4 linked regions of the Arabidopsis thaliana genome follow. The protein of the gene in region 1 binds, or shares a complex with, the protein of each later gene. Each region holds a gene or a part of one and is shown in the gene's direction. Other genes may lie near its edges.

What was found.
Region 2: CBL3 (region 1) and SIP3 share a complex: the UniProt entries of both Arabidopsis thaliana proteins name them as parts of the K(+)-channel calcium-sensing kinase/phosphatase complex.
Region 3: CBL3 (region 1) and CIPK23 share a complex: the UniProt entries of both Arabidopsis thaliana proteins name them as parts of the K(+)-channel calcium-sensing kinase/phosphatase complex.
Region 4: CBL3 (region 1) and KT1 share a complex: the UniProt entries of both Arabidopsis thaliana proteins name them as parts of the K(+)-channel calcium-sensing kinase/phosphatase complex.

What each region holds. Positions count from the first base shown.
Region 1 is NC_003075.7:13,407,919-13,412,727, reverse strand, and holds CBL3 (calcineurin B-like 3), read left to right. Parts: upstream 1-1,657; 5' UTR 1,658-2,104; intron 2,105-2,559; 5' UTR 2,560-2,616; intron 2,617-2,698; 5' UTR 2,699-2,729; coding exon 2,730-2,853; intron 2,854-3,018; coding exon 3,019-3,101; intron 3,102-3,226; coding exon 3,227-3,286; intron 3,287-3,360; coding exon 3,361-3,481; intron 3,482-3,601; coding exon 3,602-3,735; intron 3,736-3,852; coding exon 3,853-3,965; intron 3,966-4,062; coding exon 4,063-4,120; 3' UTR 4,121-4,306; downstream 4,307-4,809. Other genes in the region: AT4G26580 (RING/U-box superfamily protein), read left to right, coding at 1-341, 429-786, 877-1,023; CBL7 (calcineurin B-like protein 7), read left to right, coding at 4,755-4,809. UniProt on the Arabidopsis thaliana protein: Acts as a calcium sensor. CBL proteins interact with CIPK serine-threonine protein kinases. Binds calcium ions. Binding of a CBL protein to the regulatory NAF domain of a CIPK protein lead to the activation of the kinase in a calcium-dependent manner.
Region 2 is NC_003075.7:15,065,296-15,069,707, forward strand, and holds SIP3 (SOS3-interacting protein 3), read left to right. Parts: upstream 1-1,732; 5' UTR 1,733-2,104; coding exon 2,105-3,430; 3' UTR 3,431-3,888; downstream 3,889-4,412. Other genes in the region: AT4G30970 (uncharacterized protein), read right to left, coding at 3,971-4,015. UniProt on the Arabidopsis thaliana protein: CIPK serine-threonine protein kinases interact with CBL proteins. Binding of a CBL protein to the regulatory NAF domain of CIPK protein lead to the activation of the kinase in a calcium-dependent manner.
Region 3 is NC_003070.9:10,653,122-10,659,415, forward strand, and holds CIPK23 (CBL-interacting protein kinase 23), read left to right. Parts: upstream 1-1,678; 5' UTR 1,679-2,148; coding exon 2,149-2,373; intron 2,374-2,464; coding exon 2,465-2,527; exon of another isoform or gene 2,528-2,666; intron 2,667-2,824; coding exon 2,825-2,896; intron 2,897-2,982; coding exon 2,983-3,090; intron 3,091-3,198; coding exon 3,199-3,279; intron 3,280-3,418; coding exon 3,419-3,472; intron 3,473-3,569; coding exon 3,570-3,695; intron 3,696-3,871; coding exon 3,872-3,961; intron 3,962-4,080; coding exon 4,081-4,200; intron 4,201-4,279; coding exon 4,280-4,405; intron 4,406-4,619; coding exon 4,620-4,736; intron 4,737-4,832; coding exon 4,833-4,889; intron 4,890-4,969; coding exon 4,970-5,044; intron 5,045-5,162; coding exon 5,163-5,244; coding exon of another isoform or gene 5,245-5,261; exon of another isoform or gene 5,262-5,350; coding exon 5,351-5,403; 3' UTR 5,404-5,779; downstream 5,780-6,294. UniProt on the Arabidopsis thaliana protein: CIPK serine-threonine protein kinases interact with CBL proteins. Binding of a CBL protein to the regulatory NAF domain of CIPK protein leads to activation of the kinase in a calcium-dependent manner.
Region 4 is NC_003071.7:11,331,318-11,338,274, reverse strand, and holds KT1 (K+ transporter 1), read left to right. Parts: upstream 1-1,536; 5' UTR 1,537-1,830; coding exon 1,831-2,003; intron 2,004-2,856; exon of another isoform or gene 2,857-3,068; coding exon 3,069-3,425; intron 3,426-3,494; coding exon 3,495-3,552; intron 3,553-3,660; coding exon 3,661-3,978; intron 3,979-4,059; coding exon 4,060-4,305; intron 4,306-4,394; coding exon 4,395-4,493; intron 4,494-4,575; coding exon 4,576-4,608; intron 4,609-4,731; coding exon 4,732-4,917; intron 4,918-5,019; coding exon 5,020-5,214; intron 5,215-5,308; coding exon 5,309-5,384; intron 5,385-5,477; coding exon 5,478-6,310; 3' UTR 6,311-6,425; downstream 6,426-6,957. Other genes in the region: KCS11 (3-ketoacyl-CoA synthase 11), read right to left, coding at 6,652-6,957. UniProt on the Arabidopsis thaliana protein: Highly selective inward-rectifying potassium channel that mediate potassium uptake by plant roots in response to low K(+) conditions, by a calcium-, CBL-, and CIPK-dependent pathway. Positively regulated by phosphorylation by CIPK23.

The sequences.
Region 1 (4,809 bases):
TCTAGAGCAAGGTGGTTCATTTTCTTGAGAAGAGTCTTTCATTACCAGAACGCCTCAAGATCCGATCTTGGCACCAATCCTTTCAATTCTATCGCTTGGATGGTATCAGAGCTCATCGCTTTACTTTTACAGATCACTGTGATAACATCCACACTAGCTTTGTCCAAAAACGAGAGGCCTGTTTGGCCGATGAGGTTATGGATCACTGGCTACAACGTTGGATGTCTGCTCAATCTTATGTTACTATACGGTCGGTATCGTCAGCAAGATACTAGCCATGAAAATGCATTTAGCTTCGGCGATATTGAGCAGCAACAAAGAAGCAGGGAAGAGACCACCAGGTTACTAACAAAAATCTAGTTTTTTCAAGTTTGATCATAAAATGCAAAGATTTCTAGGAAAATGACTTATTTTTGTGTGTGTTTTAGGTGCTCGCATTTGATGAACAAATGCCGGACATCGCTGGAGCTATTCTTTGCGATATGGTTTGTGATAGGTAATGTATGGGTTTTTGATTCTCGGTTTGGTTCTTTCCACTATGCTCCAATCCTTCATGTCCTCTGCATCTCCCTACTCGCTTGGAACGCTCTCTGTTACTCCTTCCCATTTCTTCTCTTCCTCCTGCTCTGTTGTGTTGTACCTCTCGTTAGTAGCTTCCTCGGCTACAACATGAACGTTGGATCTTCGGAAAAAGGAGCTTCAGATGACCAGATCTCCAGTCTCCCAAGTTGGAAATACAAACTCATTGATGAAACTTCTGATTCTTCTCAAGCAAACAATGATCCGGTAAGCACTAATTTGAATTCTGAAATAGGTCAAATAGTCAGAAATCAATCTTGATATCAAAACTGAAACCCACCGGTTTCATTATTGCAGGAATGTTGTATATGTTTGGCAAAGTACAAAGAGAAAGAAGAAGTGAGAAAGCTTCCATGTTCGCATAGGTTTCACCTCAAATGCGTAGATCAATGGCTTCGTATCATCTCGTGTTGTCCTCTTTGCAAACAAGATCTCCCTAACTGAAAAATCAAAACAATACATGAGTCACAAGATTGAATCTCTGACCAAGTACCATATATGTGTTTTTTTTTTTTTCTGTTGCCGCCTAAACACGTTTACTTGTGTGAATGTCGTTATCATTCCTTTTTTTTTCTTGTGTACAAAGTAGCTCACCAGTAACTGTAATTTTACCTAAAAAAAAAGTTAAAAAACATGATCAATCTGTTGTTTTACCAGTAGAGTTTGTCCCTCTCTTACCATTAATCAAAGTTTTAATTGTTGGTTAATGTAACTAAGCTTATACTGGTTTTTGCTATAATATTTTTTCCAAAGACAATTTAAACCGAATTCAAACCCAGAGACCAAATCAGACCAAAGCAACAGTCAGAATCCGAATAACATGACACGCCGTCGTATAGGAACGATTATTGAAACGATGGTGTTTAAGACAGCGCATAAATGGACACATGCTCCACTAGACGACGACGTGTGAAAGTGAATGTAACAAGGAGTTTTATTACAACTGTATCAACATCGAGTAAAAATAAACAAAATTATTTATTTTTTAAATTTAAAAAGTATAAAAACGCCAACAAACAAAAATAATTTGGTCTTTTTCTTAGCATATTTAAAATTTTGCAATATATTCATTCTGCTTATAGAAAATCGTGTCGACCTTTTTTCTCTCACTTACCCAATAAGAGCTTTTTTCGCGTTTTCCACCGCAACCACCGTCACCTTCAACCGCCGGAGCCGCCGCAAGGAAGGCTCATCATCCGCCGTGGCGTAAGGCTTTTTCTTCTTCTCTTTCTCCCTTTTCTACGATTTCGCGGTCGGTCGCTTCCTCGTAATCTCGTGTGTTTATTCCGGGAAAATCGCGATGGGAAACAAGTTAAAATTTGAGATTGAGAATCAAGCAACTAATTTCTTCGCAAGCTGATAGATCCATGAGCTGATTACCAAGTTTATATAACGAGATTCATCGTTGTTGTATCTCTGAATCCGAACGATTTGGAATCTAAAACTCATTGGATCGCTTTTTCTCATATCCGTCATTTCTCCTTAGCTTAATCACTTCTCTGATTCATATCGCGATTAGATTCAGGTGTCGATCCTCAGAGGATTATATTTTCTGACGATTAATCCGTCTGGATAGTTTTATTATGTTCTTCATGATGCATTTTTTTTCCCCGCAAAATTCATGATGCATTTCTGACGTGAAATTGGGTGTTTTTGATTCCTCATTTTATCCTAGTTCATGTATTTTTTGGGGCTGTTTCTTAGATTTGGGTTTCGTGTTTTAGCTTAAAGATAGTTCCTAATCCATGAATACATTGGTTAATCTGGAAATGAATCTGGAGTTAAGATTAATGCATAAAGTTTACGACCGTTTATAATATGCGTCTCCTCTGTTTGTGTTTCATAGTATCTGGTGCTTTAGTCTAATTCAGATCTGATCTGAGAATGATGAATCTTGTTTGCTCCTGTCAATTCTTCTTTAACTGTTTTGCAATTTGATGAGCTAATAACTGACTATATCTCATTTCCTTCCCATCGCAGAATTTTTTGAGGTGTACAAAGCATTGCCTATTTGACGAACCAGGAAATGGTTAAAAGGTACTTATCTTGTTCAAATGCATATGTCTTTAGATTCTTCCAAGTGGTTCGAAAGTTCTTACATTTTATTGTTATTTAACAGGCATGGAGAGTTTTGATTTACAAGATATATCATGTCGCAGTGCATAGACGGTTTCAAGCATGTATGCTCCTCTTTTTTCCGGTGTTTTGATATCGATATTTACAAACAATCTGGAGGCCTTGGTGACCCTGAACTTCTTGCGAGAGAGACAGTTTGTATGCTCTCAACTTCTTTTCCATCTTATTTTAACTTCCATGCACTTTTTTTTTCCAGTTATATGTATGATTCAAAGGCTTGCCATTACTCTAGTTGATGCTCTCTGTTAAGAGGAATGCAAATCTTTCTTTCTGTGTTTTGATCATTGACTCGTTTGGGTGCAGTTAGCGTGAGTGAAATAGAGGCTCTCTATGAGCTGTTTAAGAAAATCAGCAGTGCTGTGATTGATGATGGGCTAATAAACAAGGTATGAAGGAAGGGCATCATTATATGTCTTTTATGCCACTCACTTATACTCCTCACGAATCATGCATATTGCTACGTCTTTTGGACATCCTTTTCTGATTTTCCTTGACCTGTCTTGTCGTTCAGGAAGAATTTCAGTTAGCCTTGTTCAAGACAAATAAAAAAGAGAGCTTGTTTGCAGACCGGGTATGTTCTTCTTTTTTAATCAAAAGACTTTGTTATCCATTTGCCAAGATCCTTTTTGAAAGATAACTTGACAGTACCAATCACAGGTATTCGATTTGTTTGACACAAAGCATAATGGAATACTGGGGTTTGAGGAGTTTGCGCGTGCTCTCTCTGTCTTTCATCCAAATGCTCCCATAGAAGACAAGATTGACTGTACGTCTTTGATCTTACAAAGTTGATCTGAGAAACCATCTATACAATTTATCTGATGTTGACATGCTACATGTAACCCATGAAATATCACTAACAGTTACCGGGAACATTGTTTTGCAGTTTCGTTTCAGCTATATGATCTTAAGCAGCAAGGTTTCATAGAGAGGCAAGAGGTGAAGCAAATGGTGGTGGCTACTCTTGCTGAGTCCGGCATGAACCTGTCAGACGAAATCATAGAGAGTATAATCGACAAGGTGTGGTTCCTTCCTACCCTGCTCGATACTATATTCTTGTTCCACTGTTGTATAGCCAACTCATGATAGCAGTTGAGAATAAAGTAAAGAGTGGTTTCTAAGTTTCTTCTTTCACAGACATTTGAGGAAGCTGATACAAAACATGACGGGAGGATCGATAAGGAAGAGTGGAGAACCCTTGTTCTCAGGCATCCTTCCCTTCTAAAGAATATGACTCTCCAGTATCTTAAGTGAGTTCCTAAACCAAGACTTATCCGAGGTTTAGGCAATGCAACTTCCAATTTTTTCTGTGTTATTATTAACACCGATCTCTGATATTGTGTGCAGGGATATAACAACTACATTTCCGAGCTTTGTGTTCCACTCGCAGGTGGAAGATACCTGAGAAAAACAATAGCATATTAGCAGAGGAGACAATTTGGGAATTGTGTTTGTTTTCTGATTATGTATCATGTCTATTTGTTTCAATCTCTCTGAACATTTTCAAGATTTTGTTGTTACTTGTGTGAATTAAAAGTAAAGAAAACAAATCTGTATTTTTGCTACTCCTGATTTTGATTGCTGATTTTCTCCTCGCATCTGTAGATATACTACTAACCTTGAGACATGAATCCTATTAATAAAGAGCAAACTGATGAAGTGATAATAGAGAGCAAAAAAGAGAGAACCCAACACCAAATGATCGGGTATGCTCTAGTCTGAATTCTGAAGTCAAAATTGAAATCACCGATTTGATCGAACCGGATGCAACATTACAACAATCGGATTTGTTAGTCTTGTGGTTGACTTTGTCAGTTAGAGTTGACAAAGTAATTAGCAAAGTTAGTGACGATTGTGTTCTGCATAAACACGTTTACTTTGAGGAATAAATTACTTACTCTTTCGGTCTTTCCTAATATATATGTTTTCCCTGTCTCAAAGATCTGAATAGGTATCAGAGCGCGTTGACAATCTCTTTTTTTGATCATCGATTTGTTCTCTCTTTCTTGGCTAAAAAGTTTCTATCTACACGACTCTCCATGGATTCAACAAGAAATTCAGCTTCTTCCAACTCCACGGGATGCTTTACGGATC
Region 2 (4,412 bases), 1.7 Mb from region 1:
AACGACTTATTTGTTGGGCATAACAACTTAATAAAATAGCATATCTAATATTTCCTCTTAAAATGGAACGATTTAAAACAAAAACAAAAAAAATCTTCTCAAAACTCATTAGCTAATTGATTGATTGTAGTAATATAGAGAATCTTCAGCAAACCAAACTTTAGTTATTTACGGACCACATGATAATTATCATATCTATGAATGTTTTTAATTTATATATTCTTGCTACAACATCCGTTTCAAAAATTATAGCCTCAAAATAAACAAGAAAAACTTCACAGTTTATCTACCATCTTCGTGTATAAAAACAAAGAAATGAAGTAGAAAACCCTAGAATCTACACTCACATAATGGTCCACAAGGACCACAACGAATGAAAACAATTGAACACAAATTATAGTAAAGAATCATGGAATCTATGGAAAATTATCAGACCCTACATTAAGACACAACTATTTTCTTTATAAACCTTATGAATTTTTGTAGATACAGAACTTGATTCATTGTATATAATTATGCTATTTCCCTCAATTATCCATATGCATAATGCAATGCAAATGGGTAAGTAGTCAGTTAAACTAAGGGCTTGATTGGTTCTCCCTCTGCCACCCGCAAACGCAGCGTTTGCGGGTGGTAGCGGTTGTTAGCGATTGGCACCAATCATATAAACCGCTAGATATCGCTTTGGACCGCTCGAAATCGCCAGATTTCAAAAGCTCCTTCCCGCAAGCGTTTGCGGTTGCGGGCGGTAGCGGTTAGGTTAAAAAAAAAATTATTTTTATAATTAATTAAAATAATTATATTTTCCACCCAAACCCTATATATCTTATTCTTATTAGAAAACTCTAATAATTAATATATTGTAACTCTATTCTCTCAATTATGGCATCCACCCAAACGGATAAAAATTAAAATCAAAATCAATAATCAAAAGTAAGTATCATATATTCGTTCATCCATTCACGACCAGTTTGATTTTTTTTTGAGTTGGAGATGTGTTATAAATCGTTTGGATATCTTGAAGAAACTTTATTATATGTATAGAGGCAATCTGGAAAATCCGCGAGTTCAACGTTATTTACAGTTTATCACACTATTTGATGTAATTTTTGGTGATGTACCAAATGCATAAAGTATTAAGCTTTTTCTTGCAAAATTTATTTATTTTTGAATTTAATGTTTTATTTACGGTTTTAATTTTTAATTATATTTAATTTTTCTAATATTATGAATTTATCATAATAATATATTATATTTTTCTTTCTTTTAATAGTAATATATTATATTTATTTTGGTTTATTTTTGTTTAATTACTATCACACCCGCTGGTTTACCAGTCATAAAACTCCCGCAAACGCACCCATTATCAAACGTTCAACCAGTCGTTCAAAACGTTTGATAACGCTTGAAACTGCAACCGCCAGTTTCCGCAAACTTCCGCAACCATAACCGCACCCGCTGCATTTTAATCCGTCAGGCCCTAAAAAAATTAATCACTAGGCCGTTAATCCCTATCCGTAATACGAAACACTAGAGGGATAGAATAGTAAATCGCATCGTGACCGGTCATAAAAAGACACGTGTCGTCATCGCTATCCAAATAATTGACAAACTCGAAGCCGCCAAGGGATTGCCGAAGACACATGTCAGTCAGCGAAAGGAGGTTAAACGGTGTAGTTATCACTCCCTAATAAGGGTATCTACGTAATTGCAATGTCGTTAAGATCTATATAAACACTACTCTTTTGCTAGCTCTTATCCGACGGCAAAAGGAGAATTAAGATTTTTAACTTTAAACGAGAGTTTCGTTTATTTACTCAAAAATTTACTTCTGAAATCTCTATTTGAATTTCGGGGAAAAAAATCCTAAGTAAGGGAATGCAGAGAGATGGTCGGAGTATCGCCGGTGAAGACTAAGCTGTGTGATCGGTTTAACCGATCCGTCGGCGGCAGGAATTGCCACCGGAAACACGTCGAGGACGGGTGATCCAGTTTTCTAAACTCTCGTCTCTCGAATTCTTCGAAGATATCGAAAAACTGTAAATCTTTTTTTTCTTCTACTTTTTTACAAAATTCTCTAATCATCGTTGTAAAGTAAAAAACCATGGTCGGAGCAAAACCGGTGGAGAATGGATCTGACGGTGGTAGTAGTACGGGGCTGCTTCACGGCCGTTACGAGCTAGGGCGTCTTCTAGGTCACGGAACATTCGCGAAGGTGTACCACGCTCGTAACATACAAACCGGAAAAAGCGTGGCGATGAAAGTCGTCGGAAAAGAGAAAGTGGTGAAAGTTGGTATGGTTGATCAGATCAAACGAGAGATCTCTGTGATGAGGATGGTGAAACATCCAAACATCGTCGAGCTTCACGAAGTCATGGCGAGTAAATCCAAGATCTATTTCGCCATGGAGCTTGTACGAGGCGGTGAGTTATTCGCTAAGGTGGCTAAAGGAAGACTACGTGAAGACGTAGCTCGTGTTTATTTCCAGCAATTGATCTCAGCCGTTGATTTCTGTCATAGCCGTGGTGTTTATCACCGAGATCTGAAACCGGAGAATCTCTTGTTAGATGAAGAAGGTAATCTCAAGGTGACTGATTTTGGTCTCTCTGCTTTCACTGAGCATTTGAAACAAGACGGACTTCTTCATACAACTTGTGGAACTCCGGCTTATGTTGCGCCGGAGGTTATATTGAAGAAAGGATACGACGGAGCTAAGGCGGATCTGTGGTCTTGTGGTGTTATACTTTTTGTGCTTCTTGCTGGTTATTTGCCGTTTCAAGATGATAATCTTGTGAATATGTATAGGAAGATTTACAGAGGAGATTTCAAATGTCCTGGTTGGCTTTCTTCTGATGCTAGACGGCTTGTGACTAAGCTTCTTGATCCGAATCCGAATACGAGGATTACTATTGAGAAGGTTATGGATTCGCCTTGGTTCAAGAAACAAGCAACGAGATCAAGAAACGAACCAGTGGCTGCCACAATCACAACCACGGAAGAGGATGTTGATTTCTTGGTGCACAAGTCGAAGGAAGAGACGGAGACGTTAAACGCGTTTCATATAATCGCGTTATCGGAAGGGTTTGATTTGTCGCCGTTGTTTGAGGAGAAGAAGAAAGAGGAGAAAAGAGAGATGAGATTCGCGACGTCTCGGCCAGCGAGTAGCGTGATTTCGAGTTTGGAAGAAGCGGCGAGAGTTGGGAATAAGTTTGATGTGAGGAAGAGTGAGAGTAGAGTAAGGATTGAAGGTAAACAGAATGGTCGGAAAGGGAAATTGGCGGTGGAAGCGGAGATATTCGCGGTGGCTCCGTCGTTTGTTGTCGTGGAAGTGAAGAAAGATCATGGAGATACGCTTGAGTACAACAACTTCTGCAGTACTGCTCTTAGACCAGCTCTCAAGGACATTTTCTGGACCTCTACACCTGCTTGAATTTGATGAATTCTTGCGTGTTTCAAATTTTTATGTTGTAATATATATTGTTGGATTCTAGATTCGATTCGTGATTCTTGTTTTTGATTCTTAATGTGGTATCATAGTTTGGATCGTTCAAAAAGTTGTAAGTCTTTTGTGTGTGTTTGAGTCGTGGCCGATATGTTGCGTCACGAAGCAGAGAATGTTGTGTGTGGTGTAGAATGGTGTGTTAAAGATTCCATCATCAACAAATAATAATCATGACTCTTTTAAGAATGTTAAAGAGTCAATTTTTATGCATTCATTCTCATCAAATGTCTTTTTTTTTTTTTTTGCACGTCTCTTCTTACCTTGGATTGATTAGGACATCATCTTTGTTTATGCTGGTCCAATTTGTAGTGTCGTGTTGAATCATGTATATACTCTTCAAGATTCATGTGACTATTGTATTAACACAAGTACTTAAAAAAATTCTGCGTTTTTACTTTATTGAGTCGTTTAGCTTATGCGTTTTAAATTGGTAAGATGAGTAGTAGAATCATCAAGTTAATTCAGTCGCTAGCGATGATAGAGGGCTTGTGGAGTAAGTCGAGTTAGTAAAATCTGTCATATAACAATAGGGATATGATTAGCACAAATGTGACGACGATTGTATGATTAGTGATCAGAGTTTTTTTTTTTTTTTGAATAAAATGATCGTGACAAGTATTCATTGATTTGTTGATTATAAATAATAGTGGAGTAGATGGATTCAGATGAGTGAATAGAATATGAAAAGTAAAAGGAAGATGAGGTGGGCAGCAAAACAAAAGTAGAAGTTACGTGATTGGGATGGATGTTTCATGAACCCGATTAATATTATATTAGTATATATCTCTCTTTTTAATAGAATTCTTAGTATAATCATATCAAACATGTGATTCATTAACGGAGATGCAAACACCAACCCATGATCTGTAACATAAAAAACGAAAAATGAATAACCATCTTTTACTGCCAC
Region 3 (6,294 bases), on another chromosome or scaffold:
TTACTAATGATGAACTTTTAAATATATTTACGTATAAAATAATCAAACATAGATTTAAAATAATTGTGACTATATGTCTCAAGTACAGTTAACTCGACCGATTAAAAAGATTATTATTGTTTGATTCTTATTAGAATTGAATTTTGGTGTTATGTTCTTTTTGTTAAAGGGTTTAGTTTTGGTATTATTAGGTTAGAAAGAGATATTGTACGCTTTGTAAAATCATTTTAATTAAGCAAATAATAATGTCTTGGTTGCCTCCAACAGACACTCGAACATGATTGTTTCTGTTAACTTCCGTTAATTTAGTTTTCTGATCACAAACACGAACTCGTGGGTCGGTTTATTTTTATTTCCGAGGTCAAATATTATAATGACTGACCGGGAATATACTTTCTTGATAAGAAAGTCATTATTTACACATTAGGGTTTTTAAGAGATTAAATATAATTTTCAATCTAAAGCATCTGCAATGATCATCAACTGAAGAAAATTATGATGAAAAGATTTGAGAATTTACATTCAACGACTAAACGAGTATGAATATATATGAATCAGATAACTTTTATTTTTAAAAATATGCATCATGATGGTCATGGCCTCATGGGCTATCAATTGTAAAGTCAAACCCTTTCAAGAAAACGTGGCAAGGTCATGTGTATGTACATTTGCCCACCAATGATTTGGTTCTATTGTTTTATGCTAATACGATGATTATTAGATAACATTCTCTTTGATGAGCACCATAAAAATCAGAAACTAGGTTTAAACTATTTTGGGTTGAAAAAACAAGTATAACTAGTTAGGTTGATAACTGTATACTGTATTTATAATAGAGCATTATTTCTTATAGAAACACAAACACATATATAATCTAGACAGAAGATTCTAAACATTTGATCGAACCATCGAAAATTTAATGTTTAATGGTTTGTATCATTAAGTGCCCCTTTTGTGAAACATTTAGTATTGAAAAGGGCACGTAGCTCCTTGATACTGGTAACGGCTTTTCCATAACATCAAAAGTTCAATTGGACGTTTCAAATCTAATCAATAGTATTTATTAGAGTAAATAAAAGATCCTCTTACGTTTTATAAATCTTATAAGTACACATGTTTGGAATCTCGGAGTATAAAAAGATACTTGGATAAGTGATGGCAGCTAATTGGATAAGTGGTGGACTTAGTTCAATATTTTTATTAAAAGTTTGCATATATATATATATATATATATATATATATATTTTAATAATTAATATTAATTAGAATTTAATTGAGCAATTTCGAGAATATTATTTAAGTTAGGTAAGAATTTTTTTGTACTAATTTATCTGTTTTTATTTTTACGAGAAATTAAAGATAAAGAAAAATTTATAAATTCTTTACTGTCGTTCTTTAACTCTTTTGAAATCGTTGATTATTCGGTTGGAGAAAATATCATATTTTTTATTTTCTTTTTCGAAATTTTGTTTTAAAAAATTATGACAGCTAATTACACGGCATGTAAAAAAGTAAAATATTTACTTTTATTTATATTTGATAAAAAAGGATGACATAATTTTCTGTAATCACCATAAGTCCATAACGTTTGCATTTAAATTATCAAAGACTAAGATAAGCCTAGAATAATTTAAAATGTAAACTATAGTATACGTCAGAACCTACAGATACAACCTTCCTCGTATAATCCCTAAACAGAATTTTAATTAAACATTTCCTTAACTAATTTACTTCTTAATTTAACTTTTAAATTCCTTCCACCATCGAATCACAATCTCTCTCTCTCTCGCTTGCTGTTACTCGCTTTTTCCCAGAACCGGCTTCGATTTTTCTAAAGCAGCCGAAATTTACGATTCCCAGAATTTTCCCTACTGACAAAATTTCACTTCAAATACAAATCTCGTCTTCATGAGTCTTCTTCTTCGTCCAAATTGAATTTTCTCCGCACACGAGAGTTGAATTTTGATTTTCGGCTGTTTATATGGTCTCCGGTCCCTTAGGGTTTTAATTCTTCTGCAGATCTCTCACGATGAGCGTTGCGAAATCCCAAGTATGGCAGCCATGCAAGAAGAAGAGGTCCTCCTCCTGATTCAATAGAGATCTATCTATATATATATAAGAGACCGAGATATATATATAGAGAGAGAGATGGCTTCTCGAACAACGCCTTCACGATCGACTCCTTCACGATCAACGCCTTCTGGTAGTTCTTCTGGTGGTAGGACACGAGTTGGTAAGTATGAGCTTGGACGAACTTTGGGTGAAGGAACTTTCGCTAAGGTCAAATTCGCTAGAAATGTTGAGAATGGTGATAATGTCGCTATTAAGGTTATTGATAAAGAGAAAGTTCTGAAAAATAAGATGATCGCTCAGGTATGTATTATACAATTCTCCAGCTGCTGTGTTCTTATTGGGAATCTGATTTACGCAGTTGTGATATAACCTTTGATTTTGGATTTTGTAGATCAAGCGTGAGATTTCGACGATGAAATTGATCAAGCACCCGAATGTCATTCGTATGTTTGAGGTTTGATTCTGATACTATAAAGCTGAATTCAAAGTTGTGTTGCACGTTTTGGTTGTTGTTGTTGTTCTATAGATTTGTGCTATAAGCTGAGATTCGTTTGAAGTTATGGAACATATTTGTGGTCCCTGGCTAATCATATGTATGTAATATAAGGGATTTGATTATTCTATGTATTTTTTTGGTATCTTTGTAGTTACAGATTCTCTTCTTCTTCTTCTTCTTCTTCTTCTTCTTCTTCTTCTTCTTCTTCTTCTTCTTCTTCTTCTTCTTCTTCTTCTTCTTCTTCTTCTTCTTCAGGTGATGGCTAGCAAAACTAAGATCTACTTCGTTTTGGAATTCGTCACTGGTGGGGAGCTTTTCGATAAAATTGTAAGATTTCATTGAAAGATGTGTTTTTTTTTTCTTAATACTATGTGGAAATGAGATCTTAATTCTTTAGAATTGTCATGTATTAGTCAAGCAATGGGAGATTGAAGGAAGATGAGGCGAGGAAGTATTTCCAACAGCTGATTAATGCGGTTGATTATTGTCATAGCAGGGGAGTTTATCATAGAGACCTTAAGGTTAGGAATCTTACTTTGTGATCCTCTTGCATAGGGTTTCTTGTGAATCAATTGGCATCAGAATAAAAGTTTGATGTGTTTGAATCATGTTGCACATTCTGGTTGCAGCCAGAAAATTTGCTTTTGGATGCTAATGGTGCTTTGAAAGTGTCTGACTTTGGATTGAGCGCTCTACCTCAGCAAGTTCGAGTGAGCATCGAGATATTGATTTCTTTTTCTATCATTTCATTGTAAATATCATAGTTCGATAATTCAGCTACTATGGCTTCTAAGGAGAAAGATTTCCATGATTTATTCAAAAGCTGATTTTGTGACCCTTTTTCTTTAGGAGGATGGGTTACTTCACACAACCTGTGGAACACCCAATTATGTTGCTCCGGAGGTATTAGCAACTGCTACTGAAAACTGACACACAATTTTCTCAAAACTTGAATTCTATTATTTTCTAGTCTCAGTAACCTTCTATATTTTCTCCCTAGGTAATCAACAACAAAGGTTATGATGGAGCGAAGGCTGATTTGTGGTCTTGTGGAGTAATTCTCTTTGTTTTAATGGCTGGTTATTTACCTTTTGAAGATTCTAACCTGACGTCGTTATATAAAAAGGTATTACGCTTGCCTCTTCTTCTTTTGCTTTTCTTTTGATACATATCATTTTACATGCTATCAGAAAGGCTTCAAGGTCTAGGTGCATTTGGGTGGCTGTATAAAAGCCTCTGTCATTTTTGTATGAGACGTATATAGCATAAAAGCCACCTGATTTTCTTTCTTCATAATTACAGATATTCAAAGCAGAATTTACTTGCCCTCCCTGGTTCTCTGCAAGTGCTAAGAAGTTAATCAAAAGAATTCTGGATCCCAATCCAGCAACGGTATATTTTTCTTACCCTATTATATAATTTATATTAGAGGATCTCTCCTTTGAAGAGGCAAAAGCTTCTATAGGATTGAGTAGATCTGAAGGCTTACACTGATTTTTTATATTGGGCAGAGGATTACATTTGCTGAGGTCATTGAAAATGAGTGGTTTAAAAAAGGGTATAAAGCACCTAAATTTGAGAATGCTGATGTCAGCCTTGATGATGTTGATGCAATCTTTGATGACTCAGGGGTAAGGCTAGTGTTCTTTTGTTTGTTTTTTTCGGTACTTTGTCCGGGATGATTGCTCAGTTGTTTTTGTTTGTTAATAGGAGTCTAAGAATCTTGTTGTGGAGAGGCGAGAAGAAGGACTCAAAACACCAGTAACGATGAATGCTTTTGAGCTCATCTCGACATCCCAGGGTCTCAATCTCGGTTCACTTTTCGAAAAACAAATGGTACAGAAGTCTGATACGTAAAGCTGGTCTTTAAATTTCGTCCCCCAAGGCTCTTATTTTGTTGACAATTTTTAACTATCTTTTTGCGGTTTTGGTCAAACCTAATAAGAAGTAGCTTTGCCACAAAATTTTAGTGACCAATACTTTTCTTTGGAAGCCCGTACTTAGTTTGATAGAAGTCGTCATTCTGATTGATAAGCTTCTCTGATTTCAGGGGCTGGTGAAACGAAAAACTCGATTTACTTCCAAATCTTCGGCTAATGAGATAGTTACAAAAATTGAGGCTGCGGCAGCACCTATGGGGTTTGATGTCAAGACAAATAACTACAAGGTTAGAATACTGTTACGTATTTACCCAATGCTGTGGAGTTGTGTATTGGTTTGTTGCTTCTGAATAGACCCTTTAACCATTTCTCAACTCCTTCAGATGAAGCTGACAGGAGAGAAATCAGGCCGCAAGGGTCAGTTGGCAGTTGCCACTGAGGTTAGCTTTCACAATGACCAGTGATCACCCTTTGTATGGTTGGCTGAACCTAATTTAAGTTAATTGACATCTACCTTCAGGTTTTTCAAGTTGCTCCATCTCTTTACATGGTTGAAATGCGAAAATCAGGGGGTGACACATTGGAATTCCACAAGGTATGCAAGGGTTATTAATGCTGATCAGGTTGTATCAAACCCGAGCTTGTCAAATGGTCTTCCAGTAACTGATGTTTGAATCTTTACCTTTTTGCATCCTTTCTTGCTCTTCTTTTAGTTTTACAAGAACCTTACCACGGGACTTAAGGACATTGTTTGGAAAACCATCGACGAAGAGAAAGAGGAAGGAACCGATGGTGGTAAGTATCTGCCTTGAATACTCTGTTTTTTAGATAAAGCTCCTAGAAAAGGAGAAACTAACGAAACATGTAAACACAAATCCTGTTTTGTTTCTTCATGTTTCAGGTGGTACTAATGGTGCCATGGCTAACCGGACAATTGCAAAACAGTCGACATAAGCTGTTTACTTTTTTCTAATATAGATTTTGTTCGTTATAAATTACTATAGTAGTACGGAGTGGTTTTGAAGTTAATACAAAAGGAAGCGTCAAGAAGTGGAGCAGAAGCAGTTTGAAACTATATTGGGGAATGGGGATTATTGATATTTTAATCATGTTTGATTCCATGGAATGTTGTGAATAGCATATGCGTGTTGCGAGGTTCTTGGCTTGAATCGATTAACCGGAAAGTAAAAGCTTTACAGATTTGGTTTTGCAATTTCTATATTGTCGGACGCTGAGATTCGATAGATATTTCAGTTCAAATGTACTGAAAACAAACTAACACTTGTGTGTGAACCAAATCGAAATTTATTTTCATAATTTTAAAACCTGAAAAAGGAAAGCGGACTGAAAACCAATATCAGTGTAGACAAAACAAACTGAATATATAGCATGACTTGAAGTTAGTGAGATTTTAAAACCAAAATCAAGGAAAGAAAAATATCAATAAAGATTATGTCGGACCAAATACTATAACAAAAATTTAGAGATGGAAAACTTGGTGGCCAAGTTACTCTGTATTAATAATTGAGGGCGAAGAAGATGTGAACAAGAACACCAATTCTTCAATTAGGGGTTTTGTTATTCTTCTGTATTACTCTCTTGTTTATTGCTAAGAAACAGGTAAGGCTGTAGCTAAGAGTGTGGAGGAGGAGGAGGTTGGTCTTCATAATTTGGAAACAACTAATGTGGATGTGGATGAGGAGTTTGTTCCTCACAGTTTGGATGAAGCTAAGGCTGTTGTGGATGTTGTAGATGTGGAGGAGGAGGTTGGTCCTGTTGGTTTAGAAACAGCTAAGGCTGTTGTGGATGTGGAGAAAGAGTTTGGTCCTCGTGGTTAGTGGCGGA
Region 4 (6,957 bases), on another chromosome or scaffold:
CTGTTACAATAAAATAAAATATAAACTCTTGCTCTATAATTAACATGTTTTCAATTTATCTAGCATAAATATTTTCCAAACAAGAAAAAATGATAAAGTGTGTTATATAGTGAAAAGTTAAAACTTGAAAAAACAAAGAAACATAATCCATTTTAGAACAACTAAACATAAATTAAATCAATTAAGTTTTTAGAATATTATATATATATATATATATATATATATATATATACTAGTTGTATTTGTCACAATCAGGACTTAGGGAACCCCTCCAGTTTCTATTTGGAAATACCAACTTGTCCCATATTGAGAATACATTCCTATATAAGATAGGAATTTGGAAACACCCGAACAGTTATGGGATGGAACAAGAAGTGTGCTAACCTCTAACTGAAATATTAGTAAATAAAGAAAATTCTAAAAGTAAAAGAAAATTGGTTGTTACGCATCTAACATTCTCTATAGGAAATAGCCATCTCTATGATGATTTCATACTTTTGCCAGTTCCTTGGCTTATCTAGGATTAGCTCCATCATTTGGCAATCCGATTTACGAATTCTTCCTATCAAACTCACAACACTCTTTTCACTAGAGCAATATTGAAGTAGATCAAATATATTTAAAAGGTCATCTTCCTCCCCTAGCGACATAGCAATCAAACCTTTATGATTTATCTATAGCAGTAGACATCTTGTAAATTAAAACTTTAACTATATGAAATTTGAGAAATCCAGAACTTGAAGGAAAAAATAGCAACAAATATTTGTAGTAATAAGACCACTTTAATGAGGTAACTGTTATAAATGTGATGATTATCCATCACATTACTTCTCTTTCAAGAAAATGGATAGTTATCCAAAGTTCATTATTATCCCTCATCATTTTACATTATCTACTTAAATCCTAAGTAGCTTCCTCCCCAAACAATGGTAGTTATCATATCCTAAAGGCTAAATGTCTAGCTTATCTTAAATTCCCTATATATACGATGATGGACAAGAAGTGAGTAAGATAGACGAGGAAAAGGTGAACAAAAGGGCTTACGATCTAGGGATGATGAACCAAAATATTTTTCTTTTATGCCCAAACAAAGAAAAACTATTTTTTTACGATTTGCTTTTCCTTTACTCGTTAAAATAAAAGTATGACAGTTTAACATTTATTGCTCTTTATGCAAGTATGCAACCAATCATACCATAAGTTGCAATCAATATCTCACTTCAAATCTCCATACCACAAATGAGCCCAAGAATGTTATATGATCGATCACCTAAAATATTTTAAAACAAGTTTTAAGTCGTGTCCTACATCTATATGTGTTTTTTTTTTCCTTTAGTTAGAAGTCAAACAAACAATAAAATAGTAAGTATAATGATTGAAAAACTTGAGATCATGCTCTGATGTATAAATTTTTGGTCAACTCTTCCTCTTCGGTCTAATTTTTCTTCTTCTGTTAATACAATTATTTATGAGCAAGAATGATATTTTATTTTATCTTGAAATGGAGAAGCCACCATTAATGCTACAGTAAGGGTTAAGACGTGAAAGTGGGGCCAACCACTGTGTTGCCGAGAGAAAACTTAATTCCTTGAAAGTGAAGGGATCCAAAGTCAGAAATGACACACACACCCGTAATAAAGCCAACTAGCCAAGAGTTTTTTTTTGTTATAAAGAAAAAAAAAAGGTCTCACTCATCAACAACGAGTGAAAAAAAAATGTGAAACCAATAAAGCCAAGAGTTAAGCTGCTTATTTTGCCTCTTTTGCCGAAACCAAAAGAACAAAAAAAAGGAACCATCAAAGAGGAAGCCAAGAAAAAAAAACGTCGGTGATGAGAGGAGGGGCTTTGTTATGCGGACAAGTCCAAGATGAGATTGAACAGCTTTCGAGAGAGAGTAGTCATTTTAGTCTTTCTACTGGAATTTTACCTTCACTTGGTGCAAGAAGTAATCGACGAGTTAAGCTTAGGAGATTCGTTGTATCTCCTTATGATCACAAATACAGGTTTCACTCTTTTGTTTTTTGTTTTTCTTGTTTCTCTTCCATGTCAAGCTAAGAAGACGATTACCATTTTAACTTGATATATATTTCAACTATATAACTTCTGATTCTTTCATTTATGAGGATCGGAAACAAGAAATTAACTTTACTTTAGGATCATAGTTAACAAATTTGTATTTTATTAAATGAATACTGAATATAAAAAAAAATTGTATTCTTTTTAATGGTTGGTGATCAACTTTTGTAATTTATTGTGGGTAAATACTATTAAGTATATGCACTAGATTAACTAACCTTATTTTCTATGAGTTAGGTGAATAACTATTTGGTTAGGTTACAAGTTTACCCTCAAAATAGTAAGAGTTTCATGTTGGTTTTAAACAAATAACATGTTATTTTATCTTATTGGACTATTTTATTTGAAAAATGTTTTAATTTCTTCATAAAATAAAAAAATTACGTGCAAATAAAAAATGCTAGTTGGTCAAACAACACAAAAATGTTGGTTTCCACGTTTTTTTACCTCAACAACAATTGATTTTTAATAATAATATTTTCTTAGGTTAATTTGAAAATTTTAACTACTTGACGACTAAAGCTCCCTTTTTACTCAACATTTGGAATATTCAAATCCTAGTTCCCTAATATTCAAAAAAGAAGATCTATAAATGTGAAGGCTATTGTAGAATATTCAAGGCTCCCATTATTACTCTCGTTGGCTAATTAGCTTAAAAGCCGCCTTTGCTTTTGGCTTTTGCTTTTTGGGGATAATTTATAGTAATTGAAAAAGAGAATGTGGAACATTCAAGGCACTCATTACTTGATTTCAACGACTGATATCAAATCTGATATATTACTATAACCAAAAGTAGAAAAAACTGTACTTGGTTGTTGTATCCTCAATAGCGTCATCAAATAGTAACATACTATTGAAACACAAAGTACTGATAAATTAAATATGAGACTTACTTGGATATATTCATGCAGTAACTTAAGAGATATGTTCAACTACATGTAGAAAATGTACTAGATTATTGAATATGACTGAAATGGAAATGTTGACTACAGGATATGGGAGGCTTTCCTAGTGGTTCTTGTGGTTTACACAGCTTGGGTTTCGCCTTTCGAGTTTGGGTTCTTGAGAAAGCCAAGGCCACCACTATCTATCACCGATAACATTGTGAACGCATTCTTCGCCATCGATATCATCATGACATTCTTTGTTGGTTACCTCGATAAATCGACTTACCTCATTGTTGATGACCGTAAACAGATTGCATTTAAGTACTTGCGTTCTTGGTTCCTTCTTGATCTTGTTTCAACCATTCCCTCAGAGGCTGCTATGAGAATCTCATCTCAGTCTTATGGATTGTTTAACATGCTTCGTCTTTGGCGTCTTCGCAGAGTCGGTGCCTTGTTTGCCAGGTTAGAATCACTAAACTTTTCTTCTTTCTTTCATTATTTTCTTTAATCTTGACATTCTCTGTTTAACAGACTAGAGAAAGACCGCAACTTCAACTACTTTTGGGTCCGATGCGCAAAACTCGTTTGTGTAAGAACATCAAAATGTTTTGCTTCTTATAATGTTATCTTTATTCAAACTACTACACTCTCGATGTAGTAATAGTGTAGATACTAACCAACCAGAGCATTTTTGCAGGTCACTCTTTTTGCGGTTCATTGTGCTGCATGTTTCTATTACCTTATCGCAGCGCGCAATTCTAACCCCGCAAAGACCTGGATTGGTGCAAATGTAGCAAACTTCCTAGAGGAAAGCTTGTGGATGAGATATGTGACTTCCATGTATTGGTCCATCACTACTCTAACCACTGTTGGTTATGGTGATCTGCATCCTGTGAACACAAAGGAGATGATATTTGATATCTTCTATATGCTCTTCAACCTCGGATTAACCGCTTACTTGATTGGTAACATGACAAATTTGGTAGTCCATGGAACAAGTCGGACTAGAAATTTTGTAAGTTAGCATCTTCATATCCATCTTCAATCTTTGAAGCATATCCATCGCGGTTTATAATATTTTGTTCTCATTTTGCAGAGAGATACAATCCAAGCTGCTTCAAATTTTGCTCATAGAAACCATTTACCACCTCGTCTGCAAGATCAAATGCTTGCACATTTATGTTTGAAATACCGGACTGACTCTGAGGGTCTGCAACAGCAAGAAACTCTTGATGCACTCCCAAAGGCCATTAGATCGAGTATATCACACTTTCTTTTCTACTCCCTCATGGATAAAGTCTACCTGTTTCGAGGAGTATCCAATGACCTGCTTTTTCAACTGGTATACTAATGACAATGCATGTGAAAACATCATTCATATCCCATTTTCAACACACAAATGAAGCTACCACTACTTTGTACATTTTACAGGTCTCAGAAATGAAAGCTGAGTATTTCCCACCAAAAGAAGATGTTATCTTGCAGAACGAAGCGCCAACAGACTTCTACATCCTTGTGAACGGAACCGCGGTAATAAAACATTACAAAGTTCTCTACAGATTTGTTGAGTTGACATAAAACTTACTTCTCTTACATATCCGTTATGATGCAGGACTTGGTGGATGTAGATACTGGAACAGAAAGCGTAAGTCGCGTCACTTGATGGATGTTTCTTATTTTATGTTTATCCCTTTTGTCTCCATACCTGTGATCTTGGAGTTATGATGTAACTAAGCATTCACAAAGAGAAGTTTATGGAGAATTTCAGATTGTGAGAGAGGTTAAAGCTGGAGACATTATAGGGGAGATAGGGGTGTTATGCTACAGACCACAACTGTTTACTGTGAGGACCAAACGTTTGTGCCAACTGTTGCGTATGAACCGTACAACTTTCTTGAATATTATTCAGGCCAATGTTGGTGATGGTACCATAATCATGAATAATCTACTTCAGGTGAATAAACAGATCCTTCTGAGGTTTTCAAATATTGAAAACAGAAAAGTATCTATGAACTATTACTTACTTGTTCTCACTCTCTTTCTTTGTGGAGAGCAGCATTTGAAAGAAATGAATGATCCGGTGATGACGAATGTTCTGCTGGAGATAGAAAACATGCTTGCACGGGGTAAAATGGATCTTCCTCTCAATTTATGCTTTGCTGCAATAAGAGAAGACGATTTACTTTTACATCAGTTACTAAAGAGAGGACTTGATCCAAATGAATCGGATAACAATGGCAGAACACCTCTGGTCAGTCAAGTTCACATTCTTGTTCTGTTATTTTCTTCTCATCCAAGCTCTTGGAGACTATAACTTATGATCTCTTTTTTTTTTCTGGAAACAGCATATAGCAGCATCAAAAGGAACTCTAAATTGTGTTCTTCTTCTGTTGGAGTACCACGCAGACCCCAATTGCAGAGGTACTTGCTTGTTCAGTTCTGGTACTTCCCTTTTGATTTCAGGATTTCTTCTGAAGTATTGAGCTTCTTGGTTTCTTCGAAATGTAAACGCAGACGCGGAAGGGAGTGTACCACTGTGGGAAGCAATGGTGGAAGGGCATGAGAAAGTTGTAAAGGTACTGTTAGAACATGGCAGTACCATAGACGCAGGGGATGTGGGTCATTTTGCTTGCACGGCGGCTGAGCAAGGAAACTTGAAACTACTAAAAGAAATTGTTCTTCATGGTGGAGACGTTACTCGTCCTAGAGCCACAGGCACCTCTGCGCTCCATACCGCTGTATGCGAAGAGAACATTGAGATGGTAAAGTATCTTCTGGAGCAAGGTGCGGATGTTAACAAGCAGGATATGCATGGTTGGACGCCGAGGGATCTTGCTGAGCAACAAGGGCATGAGGATATTAAAGCCTTATTCCGAGAAAAGTTACATGAGAGGAGAGTGCATATCGAGACAAGTTCTTCGGTACCTATACTCAAAACCGGGATCCGGTTCCTCGGAAGATTCACTAGTGAACCCAACATCCGTCCTGCATCAAGAGAAGTGTCTTTCAGGATTCGAGAAACAAGAGCAAGACGTAAAACTAACAACTTCGATAACTCGTTGTTTGGTATATTAGCAAATCAAAGCGTACCCAAGAACGGGCTAGCTACGGTAGATGAAGGCAGAACTGGAAACCCGGTGAGAGTGACGATTAGTTGTGCAGAGAAAGATGACATAGCCGGGAAGCTGGTACTGCTTCCTGGGAGTTTCAAGGAGTTGCTAGAATTGGGTTCCAACAAGTTTGGTATTGTTGCTACCAAAGTTATGAACAAAGACAACAATGCAGAGATTGATGATGTAGATGTTATAAGAGATGGAGATCATCTCATCTTTGCAACTGATTCTTAACAACCATAGAAACTCTCTGCCACATTCTATCACCTATTGTTATTAATGACAAGTTGATAACTCTTGTTTTTAACAACTTTGTCAAAAAATGAAAGAGACAAAGAATGCTTAAAGGAAATATATATGCAGACACAACAACCAAAAACACAAGCTGGACCGACCATTGACGGTCTGCTACTGACTACAACAAGTTTTTCCGCAAAAAAGAAGAAAAATATTGTTAACCAGTTTGGTGTATCTGATTATCAAATCAAGAAAAAGGTAAATTCACTGGGAAGACACAAAATATCAAAAGCTGAAAACTCAAAAACCTCTTCTGAAAATTTGCCACTAAGTGGTTTCTAGATTGTGGAGACCTTGGGGACTTCAACTGGGAACTCATGAATTTCATCCATCCATGGGTTCTTCTCTTTCTTAGGGTTTACCGACCTTACCGCTCTCCAAACCGAGCTGTTGCACTTGAACCCCGAACCAAAAGCTATCTGCCAAATTCTATCACCTTTCTTGATCCTTCCTTTGGCCTCACTATATGCTAATTCATACCACAAAGAAGAACTGGACGTGTTACCAAAACGGTAGAGTGTCATCCTCGAGGGCTCCATATGCCACTCTGTGAGTTTCAAGTTCTTCTCCAATTCATCAAGAAC